Saccharomyces cerevisiae S288C: one gene and its partners. Changing the gene in region 1 together with any one later gene gives a genetic interaction. Each region holds a gene or a part of one and is shown on either strand. Other genes may lie near its edges.

Region 1 (7,418 bases):
AAATAATACTTCTACATACGGCCAAACAGTACAACCAGTTTAACGGAAATATGATGAAAACTATGTGTACTCTAATTATTATATAAAGCATCTATAAAATGAATCATGAGGATTAGGCCGTGATCTTCGCGCTCCATATATGGAGAATACTTTTAATTTCACAGGAGAAATTAAGATAAATAACTTGAAAAGTCCACTGAGATTGGTGAAAGTGTTTCATCCTCTTTTTCAGTTTCCCTTGAACGATAGGGTGGAGTGGGACAGGCGGGAGATATGTTTTCCTGTAACGGCTGCATCTCTGGTATATTTCCATCCCGATTATATGTTTTCATGGGGCTGGAAGTGAATAATGAATTCGTTCTTCTTATTGGAGACGGGGAAAGATCAATTTTCAAGGGCTTAATCTCATCGTTTTCTCTAGCTAGATTAGACATGGTTCTCCTAGATTTGGTGTATGATGGATGAATGTTTGAAGAATCTAGTAAATCCTCCAAAATCCTGTACTTCTCATTTGAGTAATTCAATGCTTCTTGTAATGATTGTAGCTTGCTTTCCAAGGCTTTTATTTTCTCATCTCTTTTCTTAATTTGCCGCTGTAGAAGAATTTCTCTATCTAAGTATAATGATTGATTTCTATCTTTTCCACTCGACCCGTCAGAACTACCACTTCTTAGTTCACTGATCCGTTGCTTATTGTATTTCAACTCCGATATCTTTCTCTTAAAGGCATCACTCCTTAGGATCCTAGATTTGGCTGTATCTGTGTCCATATAAGAAGGTCTTCCCTGGGATCTCTTCTTCAAAATTCTAGTCATGTCGCCACAAACATTTTGCATCTTGCTCATATTTTCATTATCATTGGAAAAAACATCTCTGATTGTCTGGAATATCTTTGTTAACCTTCGTTTGGGTGTTTTCCTCCTGTTAGTACGAATTTTTTCTTCAGTTTTCCTATCTGTCACCTTTCTAGGTCTTTTTAGAACGCTTTTACCCGTAGGACGCATCTGCTTTCTTCTGCTCCTTAAGGCAGATCGTTTTCTCACTTCATCAAGGGACCCGTATTCTCGTTTCCTGCCATCATCTCGTATTCCAAAAAAATCTTTCCACAGTCCCTGTACGGATTTTAGCATATTACCAATGTCTATTATTGTACCTTTCTCTTCAGAGTATCTACTTGTTCATGTTCAGCAATAATTTCATAATTGTTGATGCGCGCATCGTTTCTATACTATGACGCGTCACGAATTGTGCTAGAGTGGCCTCTAATGAAAGTATAAGAGGCGTTGGCGAAGGTCAAGGATAGACCATTGGCTGTTTCGGATGAGTTATTTTTAAAGTGTAAAGGTATAACATCAAATGAATGAAAATTAACATTGATCTCAGCTCTCAATTTCTTTCCTCATTTGTTTTCGATGTTTCTATATGAGTATACATTAAACAAGTAAATCTCAAGCTCTTGTCAAAACAGTTATTTCCAACATATCTATCTGCATTATTGGTAGCATAATTCTCAAAGGAAGCTAAAACATCCTTCTTAAAGACGTCTATTGGCAAACGATATGTTACGTATTCCGGGTAAAACAAATATTCCATTAAGTGAAATGACCTTTGTTTTCAAAACTAACCAGTTTTAGAACAGTAATTCATATAAACAACGTGATCTTATATGAAAAACTCACCAAAAGGAGACCAATGGATTCCACAGCACTTAAGGTAGCTCTAGGCTGTATTGCAATTCGTTTGGCTGTGAACAGCCTTTTTCCCTCTCTACAACAACAACTGGACCAGTCTGTAGAATTCTCAACTCCCGTAACTTCATTTAGGTCACTACAGGAAGGTATATACCTACTGCGGAACAACATCCAAGTATATAATCATGGGGTTGTTCACCATCCTCCAATTTTGATTTTTTTTCTTTCCCTCTTTAATTCCGACAGGTTAATTTCCCTCATATACGCTTTAATTGATGGATTAATTGCGTATCAGCTGACAGAGGTAACAAAGGCTTTCAAAAACTTGAAACTGAAAGTTTGGCTACCTGGACTTCTTTATGCCGTGAATCCTTTGACCCTTTTATCGTGCATTAGTCGGTCATCAATCATATTCACAAATTTTGCTATTTCATCGTCATTGTATTGCATATTAGCTGAAGGAAACGTTCTTTTGTCCTCTGTTATGATTTCTATATCTGGATATTTGTCAGTATACCCTATTCTCCTCTTAATTCCGCTATTAGGTATGCTGAAAAGTTGGAGGCAAAGAATATTATCTGCCATTGTTTCCATACTATCTTTATTAATTCTGCTATTATTCAGCTACAGTATATTAGGCAGCCAAAGTTGGTCATTTTTGACACAGGTTTATGGATCTATTATAACCTTTGAGAAGGTTTTTCCAAATCTGGGTTTGTGGTGGTACTTCTTCATTGAAATGTTTGACACCTTCATACCGTTCTTCAAGGCTGTATTCAACATTTTTATTGCAGTATTCATTACACCATTTACTTTGCGCTATCATAAGCAGCCATTCTACGCATTCATTTTATGCATTGGGTGGATTGTCCTTACAAAGCCATATCCCTCACTAGGTGACGCTGGTTTTTTCTTCAGCTTCCTACCTTTCTTCACGCCACTATTTGGATATTTAAGATACCCCATCATATCAGCATTACTGTTTTTACACGCAATTGTTTTGGCGCCAATTTTCTATCATCTTTGGGTTGTTTTAGGTTCAGGGAATAGTAATTTTTTCTATGCTATTTCCCTAGTTTATGCTCTGGCTATAGCATCTATATTAGTTGACTTGAACTGGGCGATGCTGAGAATTGAATACGATAACGGTATCCCAAATTTCAAATTGAAGGTAACACAAATTTAACTACTTCCCGTCTATAAACGTACATAAACTAGAATAAAAAGAACCATACAGATGTTCATCGTAAGAGTGGATAAAGCGAATATGAGAGCCATATTGGTTATTCCAGAGGCTATCTATTTTTTAAGAGAAACTGCTTGGTTAAAATTTGCATAATATTGTCTCGGAGAGAAAAGATAGAACTCAGAAGGACCTAATTAATCATGAGCGTTATAATACGAAGAATTGAGATAGAGTGTATGATCTGCGGATTAAGCTCCTACATAATAACAACATTGTACTTGGGACTATGCCAATTTCTTTCCCACCAAAAGTCGTATGAAAAAGGTTATCTTCGCTAGGGCTTCCATTAGGTGAAAGCCAATATATTATCATAGAATAGCACGGCATAAATATATATTTTGTGCTGTCTTTTTGGGAAGGGTAGTTTGACAACCCATGTACATTAACATAAAAAGAGCTTTATCATTAACGGACGAAGAAAGAATGTGTATCGCGTATTTTTAGACTATCGATAATCTTTTTTAAAGTTATGGTAGATAGAAGATGGAATCAGTTACGAAGTGATGAGTTCCCATACATTCCAGCCTGTTTACATTAGCTAATTTAAAAAAAAAAAACATAATTAGAATATTACGTGATGACTCAGTTTAAACGGTACTCTGTAACACATCATTTCTATTTGTTGTTCTAAAACAGGTTCTACATATTTGGATCTGCTGTGAGAATGACCTAAAAGGTAAAACTCTCTTTGTAATAATCCAAGGAAAGTGGGAGTTCCTTGGGGAAGCTCTATTGCAATATATTGTAGTTTCCATTCAGCCTGCTTATCGCCTTAGGAAAAAGGAATGTAAGAGGCAGAAAAGTGCGGCGCAATCGTTCGGACAGCGAGCCGCCATTATAGGTAAGAATACTTAAAGAGCTTCGCCGGATATTATTACAGTGTATTAAATTTCGCCAAGTCTTTGCCAATGGAAATGGGTGCATAAATTTATGTGCTTGGTACATATGAGTTCAATAGATATGTAGTAGTTGGATAGTAGATAGTTAGGATATATAATCATGGAAGGGTTACTCACAACGAATCACATAATGAGTTATGATTTTCACTGTGCTCATCTGTTGCCCCTACAAGGGGTGATCAATAACAAACAATTTCATTAAAAAAAAAAAAAAAACTAAGTCACTATAACTAAACGTAATAACTATGTATATGAAAGAAAATAATATCTGTTCGTCATCTAGTTTAATACGGCAACGAGTTTTTCACCAGAGTTCTTACCATATTTGATGTCTTTTAGGATATGAGGAACATCACAAAGCCCGTTCTTATAGACCCTTACTGGAATATGGCGAATTTGTCCATCATTAATCTTTGGATTGATGAATTTGATAAATTTTATTGCAGCTTTCCTAGCTTCTGAGTCGGCTGGTAAAGTAATGTTTCCAAATGGTACTTCATGGCCACCTATTGAATATAGCCTTATTATGTCAATAGTAACGTTTTGTCTCCTGTTCTCTTTTTTGACGTTTTCTTCTGTCAAATTTTTTAATTCAACAATTGTAGCATCCTGTTTATCGGCCGCACATTTGTACACTTGTTGAAGCGTATCTTGATTCGCGACACAGTCGACTAAATACGAGATATTGTTGTACTTGTGTTTAATTTGTTCTACCACGTCAATATCATGATAATCAAATAATTCATCAGCACCATATTCTTTCAAAAGTTTTTCGTGCTTCCGAGAAGCCACAACAATGATCTTGGTGAAGCCATTCAATTTATTGGCTAATTGGATGAGCGACTGACCTACTGCAGTTGCACCGCCCCATAATAAGATGGGGCCTTTTCTTTGTGGGGTTGATGGCTCCCACTTCAGGTCCAAGCCCAAGTTATAGGTCAACACCAAGCCGGCTGTGGTCAGTGACACTGGGATAGTGGCTACACCTTCCAAAGACCTGACAGGGCCGGCAGGTAGAACATCCTCACCCAAAAATTTGAGTTCATTGGGTGATTTGTAGGCAACCACAGTTGAAATAGCAGAATATTCAGCAAAAGCACCATTGGAAGGAAACCTTACGGAAGATCCGTGAATGAACCCATAAATATAATCACCGATAGAAAAGTCTTTAGGATTGACAGCTGGGCCCAATTTGACAATTTGGCCAGCAGCATCACATCCCAGAATAGATCCTTGAGGCCCGATCTTGTAGTCAATGTGTGCCCAATCAGTGGGGTTACCAGCAACAGCGAGTGTCTTAATCAATACGAATCCTTCTTCCAATTCAGGAATGGGAATGCCCTCTTTAACAACCGCTTTACCGTCTTCAATGACGACAGCCTTCATGGTTTCTGGAATTGCAACTTGCATGTTTGTAGGTTATCTGTAATTGTCGTTGATAATCTGTATTCAGCTTGCCATTTTATAGAATATGGTTAGAAAGATCTTAAGCTAGATAAAGAAAAAGAAAAAAATAGAAAAAAGCCTGCCCGCTTTATAAGAACTTTTCTCAATATCTGTTGAGGAACACTTAGTAATATCGTCTATCATGGTTGCTTTATTCTTAGTGATATTACTCTCTGGGATTCGATGTGTTCTCATCATCTGAAGGGTTTTCTATGTGTTGAAAGCCTATCCCACTAGACGGAGCCGCGCGTCAGCCGGGCGGATCCGAGACATCTTAGTCAGCTGAGACAAGAAAGGCACAGCTCTCGGACAGGAACTGCTGTCATATGAAAACCTAAAAATGTTTCCTGGAAATTCCATGACTGCGCAAAGTTTGATACGTTTATTGTTCTTCTCCACTACCGCACTTTCTATCTCGGAAACCTTTCAACTAAATGAACTATTGTTAATTGTATGGCGTGTGGCCTTTCTATTTCAGAAAATTTAGAGTAAAGTAAACTCCGTCGGACTAGTATAGTAATGAAACAAGCCATTGACTCTGCAGCATATTGCGACCAAAACCTGGAAATTGGTGGCTATGAGTTTTAATTTATAATTATATGAAAACAAAGCTTGGAATGCTGAGTACTTTTTCTTCAATGCTGCTCACTGCCCAGAAGCGTTCAGAACAACTCTACTGGAGCCATTCTGCTTGAAGGAGGATAAAAATGCCAAGATCAAGTCTTTTAAAGATTCTATCCCTTTTCATCGAAGAAGCACTACAAGTTTATTTTACAGAAGTTGACAAACTGTGGAACTTGATCCATACTGAATAAGTATGGAAAACTGTTAACTTAGAGGATGCTCTGCTTTCTAAAGAAGTTTCACAGCTTTAGACTCACATGGGTTCTCATGAGTATTGCTAGCTAGTGCGAGTTTGATCTATACTTCACAGACTTTTAACACCCCGTTCCTTAAGTTTTCCCTGATTATCAAGGGTATTTCCAATTCTTACTCCCCACTATCGCTCCTTTCTTATCTGAATTGTATTTTTGAGTGGCCTAATTGTAATCTTTTATTTTGTTTTCTAATTATTGAAGGCGGTTTCTCGAAGCATTTCACGATTTCCAAAATTCAAGAATTGAAATTATGAACATAGAAGACAAAATACTTTTTTTATCAACTATTAATACACCTTTCCTAGAGAACATTTTTAAAATAAAATAAAATAAAGTAGCGCTCTCTACTACCCTTACACTTTTCTCCTTCATATCTGGCTAGAAAAGAGGGATTACATCTCGGAATCAAATATTTCCCTCTGTGCAAAGTTTTAATACTGCTACTACGAACTGGTTACAATTTTATTTTTATCATACACGATACTTTGAACATCAACTTCTCTCAATACCATCCGCCTTCAGCGGCTACAATTACGTAATTGCACCAAGGCATTCGCCGAGAGTTCACAAATTGCAGACCCTAACAGTATACGACTCCCAACACACGTTTAATGTTGTACGAATTCAAGAGATAGAAATGCTTCTTCCGCGGAAGCCGTTTAAAGCACTGAAATTAGGCTTAGACAATAGACTTCTGTACGAGGGTCCAAATCTAAAATTCAGATATTCTTTTTGACCGAAAACGGAAATCACAGGCGCGCAAAAGGGTTTTTCAAGGTACCCCGGCATCCCTATAATAGGCATTCCCACATTCTGCGCATACGAATACACATGAGTGCCATAAAACAATACTCCACATACGAAGTCTATGAAAGATGTATGATTCGTTCAGAAACAAGAGCATTTCCATACTGATAATGAGATTGTGTGAAAGATGAGATATGGAGGATATGTGAGGTGCTAAATGAGCGTCTGTTAACGAATCGTTTAAATAGTGATGACTGATGAAGGCATGGGTATAAATAGAGCTGCTTCAACTGTATGCCTTTGAGAATATGTCTTTATTCCTTTCTTTCCTGTTAAGCTTATATCAGCACTAACAAACAAAACAAATACAATGGTCAAATTAACTTCAATCGCCGCTGGTGTCGCTGCCATCGCTGCTACTGCTTCCGCAACCACCACTATAGCTCAATCTGACGAAAGAGTCAACTTGGTTGAATTGGGTGTCTACGTCTCTGATATCAGAGCTCACTTG
Region 2 (6,777 bases), on another chromosome or scaffold:
AGGTTGGCGTACGCTATCGGACATGCTATGCCACTCTCCGGGAACGAGGGATTTAAAAAAGGGACATGAAGTAATATGAGCCGAATGGCTACGATCAGTAAAAATCAGCAGGTGTCATGTTACAGTATATATGATTCTCGTTATTTAGCCTTCTATATATCAGTGGGCCCATGAAAATCTAACTTAACATCTTTGCCTCTGGGGTTTGTAGGGCTCCTCGAGGTACTTTATCTCTTCTTCTGTTAGAGTTACTTGTAGTGCGGCAATCGCTTCGTCTACTCTTGCTGTAGTGTTCAATCCCACAATAGGGTGACATCCTTTATGCAAAACCCATGCAATGGAGAGCATAGCCATCGAGACTTTTTTGTCCTTCGACACCTTTTCCACACGATTTATAATTTCCTTTTGTTCTTCTTCGAGATTATCCAAATGTAACGACTTGAAAGTTGGATCACTCTTAATCCTGTCCGTGCTTTGGTTCAGAGGACGAGTCAACATGCCTCGTGCGTTAGGAGACCATGGAAGTAAACCAATATTGTGTCTTTTGGCAAAAGGAATCAATTCGCGTTCATCTTCACGATAGAGCAAATTGTAGTAAGACTGCGAAGAAATGAACTGAAACCAGCCATATTTATCGGCTGTGAACTGCAGTTCTGCAAATTCAGTTGCCAACATACTCGAAGCCCCAATGTATCTAACGTGGCCCGCTTCAACAACATCATTCAATGCCTTCATGATCTCTTTCATTGGCGTTTCATGATCTAATCTGTGAATTTGTAAAAGGTCTATATATGTGCCCAGTCTTTTCACAGAGTTCTCGACACCAGCAATTATATGCTTTCTGGATAAACCCCGCTGGTTGGACAAGTCCAATTCTTCAAATTCATTTAAAGTGAAGTTATGATGCAAATCAAGCGTTTCATCAACTGGGAAGTAAATTTTGGTCATAATCACCACCGTTTCTCTCTTTATACTGTAGTACTCCAGAAACTCCTTAATTATTCTTTCACTCAAACCATTAGAATAAAAATCTGCTGTGTCAAAAGTACGAAGACCTTTATCGTAACAATGCTTCATAATCTTGAAAATTTGGGTCTTGTCCTCTATGACCCAGTCCGCCCATTTCTTGGACCCGTATGACATACATCCTATCACTATCGGTGATATCTTAAGACCTGAGTTACCGAGTCTTACCTGCTTAACTAAAACCATTTCTGCCGCCTGATGTGGGTCTTCCGTAACAGCCAAATTACATAGTTGGCAAGACAATTAATATATGATACCTTGTTCTCTGGGTCCTAATATATATATATATATATATATATATACGAAAAGGCTGAGAAGAATAAGGCAGATGTTAGCTTAGCTTCTTTTACTCAAGCAATGAAAACAAAATCGAAGGGAAACAAATTCAAACCAAGCGGCCGAGTTATCTCCCGTTCCTAACCTACTACACTAATCACATTTTTCCGTGGAAATAACGTTATTGAAAATGCGTTCTTGCCTGCCATACGTGGGTGAAATACTTCCACGTTCGCAAAAAATACTTCCACGGTGACGAAGTCTGTCTCAGTCGTATATTAAATGCAGAAATCGTCTTATCATTATTGGGCTCTCTTAACGGCGCAGCATCACCGGGTGATGAATGCCAAGCCGCAGAAAGAAAGAAAAAAATTTACTTCAGATTTCTGATAAAAATAAAACGGAAGAGATGAAAGCTAATAATAGAAACAGCTCGATCTTCCTCTGAACAATAATAATTAAAGGACAGACAAAAAGAAACGTAAGAAAGAAGCGAGCCTGTTCTAAAGTGTTCAACGACTGATTCAATTAGAACTGCCTACTCCTGATAGCCAACTCAACTTTTGACTCGTTAAAGTAATTGAAAGCTGGCAAGCAGAATTATTCTTTTTTTTTTTCAAGGTTTCTATCACGTTGTGAGGTTAATATCCCCCGGAGCAAACAGGCTGAAGCGTGAAAAAAACTTAAATATTAAAGTGTCGCAAAACTATACTATAGATACAACATGGGTAGACGGAAGATTGAAATCCAGAGAATTTCTGATGACAGAAATAGGGCTGTCACGTTTATAAAACGTAAAGCTGGCCTTTTTAAGAAGGCCCATGAACTATCCGTTCTTTGTCAAGTAGACATAGCCGTCATTATACTGGGGTCCAATAACACGTTCTATGAGTTTTCCTCTGTGGATACGAATGATTTAATCTATCACTACCAAAATGACAAAAACTTGCTTCACGAAGTGAAAGATCCTTCCGATTATGGAGACTTTCACAAAAGTGCATCCGTTAACATAAATCAAGACCTACTCAGGTCGTCTATGTCAAATAAGCCTTCGAAATCAAATGTTAAAGGAATGAACCAGTCAGAAAATGATGATGATGAGAACAATGATGAGGACGACGATGATCATGGCAATTTTGAGAGGAATTCAAATATGCATTCGAATAAAAAAGCCTCTGATAAAAATATACCGAGTGCACACATGAAGTTGTTATCCCCGACCGCACTCATTTCAAAGATGGATGGTAGTGAGCAAAATAAACGTCATCCTGAGAACGCGCTGCCGCCTTTACAACATTTGAAAAGATTGAAACCGGATCCTTTGCAAATAAGTAGAACTCCGCAACAGCAACAGCAGCAAAATATATCGAGACCATACCATAGTAGCATGTACAATCTTAACCAGCCTTCATCCAGTTCATCTTCTCCTTCCACGATGGATTTTCCAAAATTACCAAGCTTTCAAAACTCTTCCTTTAATGGTCGTCCTCCACCCATTTCCATTTCACCGAACAAGTTCAGTAAGCCATTTACAAATGCATCCTCAAGGACCCCTAAACAGGAGCACAAAATTAACAATAGTGGCAGCAATAATAATGACAACAGCAACTACACTCAGTCACCATCTAATTCTTTGGAAGACTCTATTCAGCAGACTGTCAAAGCAAGAAGGAAATTGTCCGCCAGACCGGTACTTCGTGTGAGAATTCCGAACAACAATTTCAGCAGTAATTCCGCTATTCCAAGTGAACCCTCCTCTGCCTCCTCCACATCGGCCAACGGCAATAGTATGGGCTCTTCGCAGATAATGAAAGAAAACAAAACAAGTAGGTCTAGCAAAATTTCTCCACTATCCGCATCTGCCTCAGGCCCCTTAACTCTCCAAAAAGGTAATAATGGCAGAATGGTAATAAAATTGCCAAATGCAAATGCGCCTAACGGTTCTAACAATGGTAATGGCAGTAACAATAACAATCACCCTTATCCTTTCGGAAGTGGGTCTTCACCTCTTTTTTCTGCAACACAGCCATACATTGCCACTCCCTTGCAACCATCGAATATTCCTGGCGGACCTTTCCAACAAAATACATCTTTTTTAGCTCAAAGACAAACCCAGCAATACCAACAAATGTCTTTCAAAAAACAGAGCCAAACAGTACCATTAACTACAACATTAACCGGACGCCCCCCTTCAACTTTTTCCGGCCCTGAAACCAGCAATGGCCCTCCAACTGGTTCACTGCCATCGAAGTTCGTACATGATTTGATGAGTAATTCTCCAAATGTTTCTTCTATATCGATGTTTCCAGACTGGTCAATGGGACCCAACAGTGCCAAGCCGGGAAACACAAACAATCCTGGTACTTTCCCTCCCGTACAGACGGCCGTAAACAACGGCAACTCCAGCAATATCAGCAGCACTAACAACACTAACAACAACAACAACAATAACAACAACAACAGCAGCAACAACAACAGCAACAACGGCAACGACAATAACAGTAACAATAGCAATAACAGTTACTATAGTAATAATGAAGATGCACCCGTAAATGGAGCTGCTATTTCAGAACATACTACCGATGGTGACTCGAACAATCAGTCCAACTCAAGTACATATGATGCTGCTGCCACCGCATATAATGGAAATACCGGGCTGACTCCATACATAAATACTGCTCAAACACCACTAGGCACTAAATTCTTTAATTTTTCGACTGATATTTCAGGAGAAAAAAATTCAAGCAAAATATAAACCAAAAAATTTGACCAGTATGAATATTCCAAGCATAAGAAACTTCTTTTCATTTAAAAAATTTATATTTATATTATTGTAAATGCACATATTTACGTAGTGAATAACCCAAACAAGGAAGAAAAACGAAAAACTCAATTGCATTTTCTGAATAATGATAGTATTTAAGTACTCTTTTGTGCATTAGCAACTAAAATGAATTGCCGCCTGGCCTGGAGTTTGATGTAAGCAGAAGCCGGAAGAAGACAAGAGGTTCATTCAGAGAAAACATCCGTACATTCGAGTTCTCATTGAACCCATACATTTCAACTATTTTTACATAGTTCGTTTTTCATGTGTAAAATTGTCATCGACGCGCCGGAGCATCGGAAAGTTGGAACGTGCGCGATTGCACCAATCCCACTGGGGCCGTGCATTCTGTAGGCAGGAAGCCACTGGACACTCTGCCCGTTCCCACTTGGAAGATTGGCGTAATTCCACGCTCCTCTATCGATTCTAGCGGGAAAGTTATCTCTCCTGGTAAGCGTTGGAGGAATGCCGCTACCTAGGTAAGTCTACTGGGTGGGAATTCCAGTACCGACGTCTAGGAACATCATGATGCTGCAGTTTCTTTGAAATTTCATATACAGTGTTACCAAGGATAAAGTGGTTAATGCTTATTCGTCATTGAATTTTTATATTTGCTTAAGAGAAGTGACAAAAGAGTGAAGACAGACTATACATCATGAAGGTATGATTTATGATACTATTATTGAGGGGCAACAGAGAACTTTATATGTGGAAAAATGGCATGAAAGTTTGAAAGTGAGAAAGAACTAAACAGAACCAGACGTCGTAAAGATTTTAGAAATTTTTTATGGAAAGAAGCAGGAAGACTACCATATACTAATTGATGCGTTTGTGGCGTTATTTTTAAACAAACAGAGCGGGTTTACATATACTGTTACTACAAACCGTGAAATTGAAGCAGTTCATATACTTGGAGTATAGTCAATAAAAGACAAGCTTTTTCATCTTCCACTTAATAATTTCTCTAGAGTAATAAACTTCACCCTATTCAAACATTAATTTTGCAATAGTATACTAACAAATTTTCTTAATAACCTGTTGAAAATTTAAAATAGTTGAACATTTCTTACCCAGTTAACGGGTCTCAAAAGACCTTCGAAATTGATGATGAACACCGTATTCGTGTTTTCTTCGACAAGAGAATCGGTCAAGAAGTCGATGGTGAAGCCGTTGGTGACGAATTCAAGGGTTACGTCTTCAAGATCTCTGGTGGTAACGACAAACAAGGTTTCCCAATGAAGCAAGGTGTTTTGTTGCCAACTAGAATCAAGTTGTTGTTGACCAAGAACGTTTCTTGTTACAGACCAAGACGTGATGGTGAAAGAAAGAGAAAGTCCGTCAGAGGTGCCATTGTTGGTCCAGATTTGGCTGTCTTGGCTTTGGTCATTGTCAAGAAGGGTGAGCAAGAATTGGAAGGTCTAACTGACACTACTGTTCCAAAGAGATTGGGTCCAAAGAGAGCTAACAACATCAGAAAGTTCTTCGGTTTGTCCAAGGAAGATGACGTTCGTGATTTCGTCATCAGAAGAGAAGTCACCAAGGGTGAAAAGACTTACACCAAGGCTCCAAAGATCCAAAGATTGGTTACTCCTCAAAGATTGCAAAGAAAGAGACACCAAAGAGCTTTGAAGGTCAGAAACGCTCAAGCTCAAAGAGAAGCTGCTGCCGAATACGCTCAATTGTTGGCTAAGAGATTGTCTGAAAGAAAGGCTGAGAAGGCTGAAATCAGAAAGAGAAGAGCTTCTTCTTTGAAGGCTTAAAGTTAGAAAGCAGTAAAAGATAAATTCTTTTGTTCAAAAACTCCTTTCTTATTCTGTATTTTGTGTATTTTTAAGCTTAAAATCAAATAACTTTATTTTTTATATAATTAACAAAAAGAAAAATAATCATATGTATTGTAAACGAGAGTCGGAATGTATCCTCAACTGAATATCCAAGCGAGTCCACAGTAGCTAATAGTCTGAAAAAAAAAGGAACCCTTGTCCTTGAACAGAAATGACAAAATTACTACGTATTTCAGGATGCTATATAAGATTGTTTACAAGAGTACAAAAGTCCAGTATAGCAACAGCAGATTGGACGTCTAGTTTCGTTGCTTCATCTCATAGTAACCAATTCTTCTGCGCTAGTCGGATGAATAGCAACACAATTATCGAAATCAGCCTTAGTGGCACCCATCTTTATAGCAACACCGAACCCTTGCAAGATTTCTGCAGAGGAATCACCAACAATGTGCAGACCGACAACCTTTTCATTTGGTCCCGCACAAACAATTTTATATCTTGTGGGTGATTTCTCACTCAACATAGCATAGTACATGGCGGTAAATTTGGAATTGTAGACCTTTATATTCTCCTTACCGTACTTTTCAATGGCTTCCTTCTCAGAAATACCAATGGAACCGGCTTCAGGATGTGAGAAAATTACGCTGGGGACGTTCTCGTAATCTAGTTTGTCATTACGGAATTTCTCTGGACCAAACAGTCTATTAGACAGCTTTCTGCCCGCTGCAATAGCGACAGGTGTCAATTCAACTTTTCCAACAACGTCACCTAGAGAATAAATGTTTGGAACATTGGTGTTCTGATATTCATCAGCAATTATTTGGTCATGAGAGTTCAGCTTTATACCTACATTTTCTGAACCCATAC
Region 3 (7,174 bases), on another chromosome or scaffold:
GAATCGGGTACTGACATAAGTGTAAGTAGCCGTACAGAGAACAAATATGACTAAATCGGTTGGTGATGAAGAGTCACAGTACATTGAGGACCCTAGTTTTGCAGCAGCAGCTGCATTTACTGGCGGCAGGGACGGGGTTTCGTACAGTAATCAGCGATTTGCTGAGGGTTCCGGCCATTCTTCTGACTTAGCAAAGTCATTAGAAGACTATCGGCCTCCTGATGAAAAGCCGTCCTCATTGTCATCTGTGGGGGAAGGTGGCGCTAATGAGGAAGAGAAGGGCGGTAACGACGGCGGTCCCTTGGCAAGAATTCAAACAGGGCTTTTTTCTCCAAGACTGCGAAATCATAGGAAAAAGATTCTCTCGAAGTTTGTTTTGAACAACTTCTTCATTGCTTGTGTGTGTGTATCGCTCATATCGATTTACTGGGGTGCCTGTTACGGAACAGATCGTTACTTTTTCAAAGTGAAAAATATTGTTGTATTGCAGGATGCGCCATCTAATACTTCAGTTCAATCTATTTCCGCGATCATACCCTCATTGTTAGCGTCTGTCCCCGGGACATGGCATATATACAACGCAACATCATTTCATAGGAAATTTGGTACGACGAACTCCACCGAAATTGACAGAAAGATAGTCGATTTAATTTACGATGAGAGATACTGGCTGGCGTTAAACGTTAAACCTAATGCTACAGACACTTTGTATAATTCTTTGATTAGCCAAGACGCAAACTCGGAGTTCAATTCATCAATTTTTTTTGAATCCGTGTTTGAAAGTGGTCGTGACCCATCGAGTGTTAAATCGACCATTCTACCACTCATGCAACAATTGGAGGTCCGCCTTCAGAAATATTACGTCAAGGAATATCTTCCCTCATTGATGAGCAACATCACTTCTAATGACAGAGATCTTAATATAAACATGGAGAACTGGGCGATTGCAGGACAGTTGTTGTTCACCTACAACGATTATCGTCCCTTTGCTGATCGTATTCTAATGGCCCCTCTGCAGGTCGGTCTGATTTATTGTATTTTGTTAACCGTTTTACAACTGTCATTATATGGTAAGTTGCACGGAGAAATGGCCAGAGTTCTGAAGCCAAAGCATATTTTAATCTACAGGCTTCTAATTTCCTGGGCAACTTATTTTCTTCTTTCCATTGGATTCTGTACCGTATCTGCAATTTTTAGGATCGATTTCACCCCCGCCTTTGGCAGAGGAGGATTCGTAGTATATTGGATGTCTACGTGGTTGGTAATGATGGCTGTTGGTGGTGCCAATGAAAACGTTCTCAGCTTAGTTATAGCTTACTGCCCTCCATACCTGAGTATTTGGTTGATGACGTGGATCATATTAAATATTTCTGCTTCATTCTACCCAATGGTTTTGAACAACGAATTTTACAGGTACGGCTACATAATGCCAATCCATAATGCCGTGGATATCTATAAAGTGATTTTTTTGAATTTAACCAAAAGAAAAATGGGAAGAAATTACGGTATTCTCGTGGCATGGGTTGCCCTCAATACATCCTTGATGCCATTTTGTATGAAGTTTGCAGGTAAAAAAATGCAAAAAAATGCTATGCAAGCAGCAGAAGCCGCTGTCGCAGCAGCTACCCAGCGTGCTAGCCGCCCGGCAGAGGCCAATACTGATAAAAATAACAACCCGCCCGGAAATTAATGGGTAGGGTTAATAGCTTATTCATATATACACTTAATACGATTAAAAATTATTTATATTCTCATCATCATAAGATGAAGATGCAAATATCACAACAATTATATAACGTCGTTTGTTTGTTTGGTGACACATTAGTGTTTCATTCCGGGTAGCTATTTTGTTTTTCTCATGCCAAGAATTCTGTAAGGCACTTAAAAGTATTCCTAAATACCACTTTCATACATGGTTAACAAGGTAAACACAAAACTTGCATTATAGTTAAAAGGGACTGTTTGATCATTACCCTTTTTCTGGAAAGCGGATATTTATTATGAGCACTGAACAGGTCGGTAGAAAGAAATCGTATAGATGGGTTAGCGCATCTCAAGCAAGTTATGACGGCGCTGGATGGGACAGTAGTGACGAATATGACTACTCTTCCGAGGATGGCACAAAAGGTTCAGAAATTCACAAGCAAAAAATATCTAATTTGCCTAGTTTACCCAAGCTCAATTATACAGATGTTAATGGTGAGCATGATGAAAATACGGGTGAAAATAAAGACAGCAATGATAATAACGTCAGTAAGAGTGATATTAGTCCTAGTGACAAGGAAGTAGGCTATCTCTCAGATGGGGTGCCTAAACTTATGGCTTCAAGAGAGTCTGTGGAATTACAAGCGAAAAAATCCAGCGAGCACTCCAAATCAGATTATCTTTCGTCGACAGCATCTTTGAAAAGTCCAAGTGAAAACAAAAAATCACCACATACAAATAGGGCTGTAAACGAAGACCTAGACAATTTGATAGAGCAAATATCAAGGGAGATGACACCAGAAATTAGGCAAACATCTGATTTTCGGCGTGATTCAGACAGTTGTGACGAAATCCAAAACGAAGCACCATTAGGGGAAGCGGTACCCTCTTCATCATCTCCTGTAGAAGAAGATGAAAAATCACATTCCTTAGGGGTTTCAATGGATACTAATGAAGCTGATACCACTTTCAATACGCCAACAAGGAATGGAAATGAACATTTGAGTAGTGATGGCGATGTTTCTGAGCAGAAAGACGACGAGTTTAAAGTTTCCGAAAGAGGCTACCTTGCAGATATTCTGCCTGCGGAGAAAGAGGAGAATTTACAACAAGAAGATGATGGTGAAGTCGAGAGCTCAGGAGCTTTGGAAAAGAAAGAAAAAAGTGAAGAAAAGACTAGTATTAGGAATAGGAACTCTACATCTAGTGGGCAAGATAAAGTAGCAAAGCCGAAACCCGTAGCAAATGAAACAAAAACTAGTGATAATGGATATCGAAATTCTTTTTTCAATGATTATCAGCATTCGTCAGACTCTGAAGAAGATGATAACAACGAAGGCAACAGTGGTAGTAGTGATGATGATAATCGATCTTCGGTTAGTGATAAACATGCTGATATTAACCGGCAATCGAAACAACTTGATACAACTGACGATGATGCATTGTCGTATACCGAATCAATAAAATATTCGACAAATGAGACAGAAGAAGAAGATAATGAAGATAATGAATCCATAGAAGACAAAAACGAAGATAATGAATCCATAGAAGACGAAAATGAAGATACAGATAGCTATAAATTTTCTAATAGGGAAAAAGGTTCCATTCTACTTACGAGTGATGAAGAGGAGGAGGAAAAAGGTATGAGCTCTGATTCAGATGAAGGCAGTCTCAAGGCGCCCAAATCAGGTTATTTCTCCAAAATGATTGGTAATGATGATAAAGGTGATTCAGCATTGCAACCTAATCAAATAGACACCATTGAAAATACCAATTTGTCAAATAGCGGTTCTGAATTGGAAAACAGCGATGGCAGCGATGAGGAAGACCACATAAATGAAGACAAAGTTTTGGAAGAAAGTTCAGTTAAAGACTCCACTGATGTTGATTCTTGGAAGCCGGACAGTGAGGCCTTACGATCAGGGTTCGTACAGGATACAGCCAATAAGAAAGCGCCACCAGGTTACGTGATCGATTCTAACGGGAAGCTAGTAGATTTAACACCTGCTAGTATGAAACCACGTGTTGTATCGACTTATTCAGAGATGGAGAGTACTTGGGATGCATTCCCTTCCAAAGGCGAAGATGACGATTTGGAGACAATCAGGGACACTAAGACTATATACGACAACAATACGATTTATAATGTTCCCGGTTTGATTGGTAACCAATCGAATTTGCCACCTCTACCGATGGACGCACAGGAACAATTAAATGCAGGAAACGATAATAGTACAACAGATAATGATAATAGTAACAATACTGCCAATGATTTGGCAGCGCGCAGTGCATCTTTCAAAAGTGAAAACAGAACAGTATCTCAAGGCGAAATGACAAGCGTCCATGAACCCAGTACTGAAGAAATGGCGAAATTGGGGCAGCAGAATAACTTACCGAAATTAGATATGAATAAACTACTGAACAGTAAGACTTCGCACGCCGGTAAGATAGAACAGTTGAGAAATTATAAGCGTGAGCTAGATGAATATGATACGGGGATACAAACATGGATAAATTATACGCTAAAATCATCCTCTAATAAGGATAAGGATTTCATAGCTGAGGAGTATAAGCAGCATAGTCACGTTAGGGAAGCATATGCGAACGCGGACGATTTGAGTAAGAAGCATACTGTCATTAACACGGTTGCTAGTGTCAACCAAAATGTAACGCACTTAAGGAGAAAAGTTTTCCAGCATTCTATGAAACCAAAGGATTTATTCGCATCAATAGGTAAGAAAAAACTGTAAGCGTTTTGCTTTACGGTAGAAACACGAAAATGTAAATGCGTTCAATTTTCAATTTTACTGTTTTTTATGTACTTTTATATAAACAGTGGCAATTAATGGCGTTTTTTATTCTACCTAGCAGAGGCGTTACTGACTCTTTTCTGAGCATGTTTCCTCAGTTCTTCATCCATCAAATCTCTTACCCTATGAGCACCTGCGATGCCGATGGCAAGAACGTTCTCTAACCTATCTAACGGAATTTTGTCTTCCACCAATAAAAGAGAAAGTTTTTCTGACTTCCCTACCACACCTAGTGTCACTGTACTCATAGCATTTTCTTCTAATGAATTGGTATCTAATAATGGGGTAGTATCGTACAGCCCGACGGATATACCACTTATGTAATCGAACATTGATATACCGGCATCTATTAAAGCGAGGGTAATACCGTTGATTAAAGATCCCATAATACCGCCATCTTGCTCAAGGACATGGATCTCGATATCGATAACTGTTCTGGGGTAGATATTCAGCATGACATTCTTCTCAAACATCCTCACCAGGGAGGTTTGTATCTCAAGAACACGCCTTTCATTCTTGTGGCTTGATTTACTTCTTTCGAATTTGGAGAATTTTGTAATGTTTACCGATACGTTCAATAAAGCCTTTGAGGTATCCATTTGAGATTTCAATCTTGGCTCTTTTGGACCTTTAACAAGAGTGATAATTTTGTTGTTACCTTGTTCCATGTAGGATGAACCGTCTGCAGCGTGCGGATGTGTGTTGATGGAACTTTCAAAACGGCGGAGTTCATTCCATCGACGTCCATCGAGACGTAGCCCTTCTGGCGAGTATATTTCTAGTCTTGACATATGATGATCCTGCTGTAGTTATGGCACTAAAGTTTTTTTGTAAATCTTTTTATATGTTAATAGATTTTACCAGTGGGACCCTGGAAAGAAAATATGTGTAAATGATGTTTTCTTTTGGATGATGTTCATTGCACAATGGTTCGCAATGTCATTCATTCATCCATTTCTTCTAGCTTTTCAATTATTAATGCCTTAAAATTTTTCAATTTCACCGCGTTACCCGAAGATGTAAATGTACCTACTCAAATAAAAGGTTCCTTGCTGGTTGGCTTTCGTAGCTAAATTGAGTGCACGTTACAAGATTATAAATGCGTTTATATATATATATTCCAGTGAATGATCTACTTTTGCTTAAGCGGCAGAATTGCAAATCTTAATTTTTCTTTTTTGTTTATGTTTTATTTCCTTGTGACAAATAAAATTTTTTTCTCTTCTGAATTTTTAAAACTAAAGAACAAAATATTAAAATAAACAAACAATTCTCCACTTTTTCTTCTTTTGGTATAGAAACTGATAGAAATGTCCTAGACCCTTAATAAGCAAAACACTCATCATTATAACGGGAAAAAATTTGAAGCAAGCTCAAAAGAGATATATATATCATCCAGCATAGACTACTATTAATTTCTATCATAATTGCAATAAAAAAGGAAATATTTAGGGGATCAAGACCATTATTCCATCAGAATGGAAAAAAGTTTAAAAGATCACGGAGATTTTGTTCTTCTGAGCTTCTGCTGTCCTTGAAAACAAATTATTCCGCTGGCCGCCCCAAACAAAAACAACCCCGATTTAATAACATTGTCACAGTATTAGAAATTTTCTTTTTACAAATTACCATTTCCAGCTTACTACTTCCTATAATCCTCAATCTTCAGCAAGCGACGCAGGGAATAGCCGCTGAGGTGCATAACTGTCACTTTTCAATTCGGCCAATGCAATCTCAGGCGGACGAATAAGGGGGCCCTCTCGAGAAAAACAAAAGGAGGATGAGATTAGTACTTTAATGTTGTGTTCAGTAATTCAGAGACAGACAAGAGAGGTTTCCAACACAATGTCTTTAGACTCATACTATCTTGGGTTTGATCTTTCGACCCAACAACTGAAATGTCTCGCCATTAACCAGGACCTAAAAATTGTCCATTCAGAAACAGTGGAATTTGAAAAGGATCTTCCGCATTATCACACAAAGAAGGGTGTCTATATACACGGCGACACTATCGAATGTCCCGTAGCCATGTGGTTAGAGGCTCTAGATCTGGTTCTCTCGAAATATCGCGAGGCTAAATTTCCATTGAACAAAGTTATGGCCGTCTCAGGGTCCTGCCAGCAGCACGGGTCTGTCTACTGGTCCTCCCAAGCCGAATCTCTGTTAGAGCAATTGAATAAGAAACCGGAAAAAGATTTATTGCACTACGTGAGCTCTGTAGCATTTGCAAGGCAAACCGCCCCCAATTGGCAAGACCACAGTACTGCAAAGCAATGTCAAGAGTTTGAAGAGTGCATAGGTGGGCCTGAAAAAATGGCTCAATTAACAGGGTCCAGAGCCCATTTTAGATTTACTGGTCCTCAAATTCTGAAAATTGCACAATTAGAACCAGAAGCTTACGAAAAAACAAAGACCATTTCTTTAGTGTCTAATTTTTTGACTTCTATCTTAGTGGGCCATCTTGTTGAATTAGAGGAGGCAGATGCCTGTGGTATGAACCTTTATGATATACGTGAAAGAAAATTCAGTGATGAGCTACTACATCTAATTGATAGTTCTTCTAAGGATAAAACTATCAGACAAAAATTAATGAGAGCACCCATGAAAAATTTGATAGCGGGTACCATCTGTAAATATTTTATTGAGAAGTACGGTTTCAA

What was found. Genes that interact genetically often act in the same process or in processes that back each other up.
Region 2: mutations in GAB1 (region 1) and RLM1 together harm fitness more than expected from each alone (negative genetic interaction), as found in Saccharomyces cerevisiae (3 studies listed by BioGRID).
Region 3: mutations in GAB1 (region 1) and FYV8 together harm fitness more than expected from each alone (negative genetic interaction), as found in Saccharomyces cerevisiae (3 studies listed by BioGRID).

What each region holds. Positions count from the first base shown.
Region 1 is NC_001144.5:1,055,642-1,063,059, forward strand, and holds GAB1 (GPI-anchor transamidase subunit GAB1), read left to right. Parts: upstream 1-1,692; coding exon 1,693-2,877; downstream 2,878-7,418. Other genes in the region: YLR456W (pyridoxal 5'-phosphate synthase), read left to right, coding at 1-43; NBP1 (Nbp1p), read right to left, coding at 171-1,130; YLR460C (uncharacterized protein), read right to left, coding at 4,116-5,246; seripauperin PAU4, read left to right, coding at 7,278-7,418. UniProt on the Saccharomyces cerevisiae protein: Component of the GPI transamidase complex. May be involved in the recognition of either the GPI attachment signal or the lipid portion of GPI.
Region 2 is NC_001148.4:376,400-383,176, reverse strand, and holds RLM1 (Rlm1p), read left to right. Parts: upstream 1-2,026; coding exon 2,027-4,057; downstream 4,058-6,777. Other genes in the region: YPL088W (aldo-keto reductase superfamily protein), read right to left, coding at 184-1,212; 40S ribosomal protein eS6 RPS6A, read left to right, coding at 4,782-4,787, 5,182-5,886; glutathione-disulfide reductase GLR1, read right to left, coding at 6,224-6,777. UniProt on the Saccharomyces cerevisiae protein: May function as a transcription factor downstream of MPK1 that is subject to activation by the MPK1 mitogen-activated protein kinase pathway. Binds to the DNA sequence 5'-CTA[TA](4)TAG-3'. At least some RML1 target genes are involved in cell wall biosynthesis.
Region 3 is NC_001139.9:887,013-894,186, reverse strand, and holds FYV8 (Fyv8p), read left to right. Parts: upstream 1-2,000; coding exon 2,001-4,454; downstream 4,455-7,174. Other genes in the region: SNG1 (Sng1p), read left to right, coding at 47-1,690; exosome non-catalytic core subunit SKI6, read right to left, coding at 4,565-5,305; XKS1 (xylulokinase), read left to right, coding at 6,312-7,174.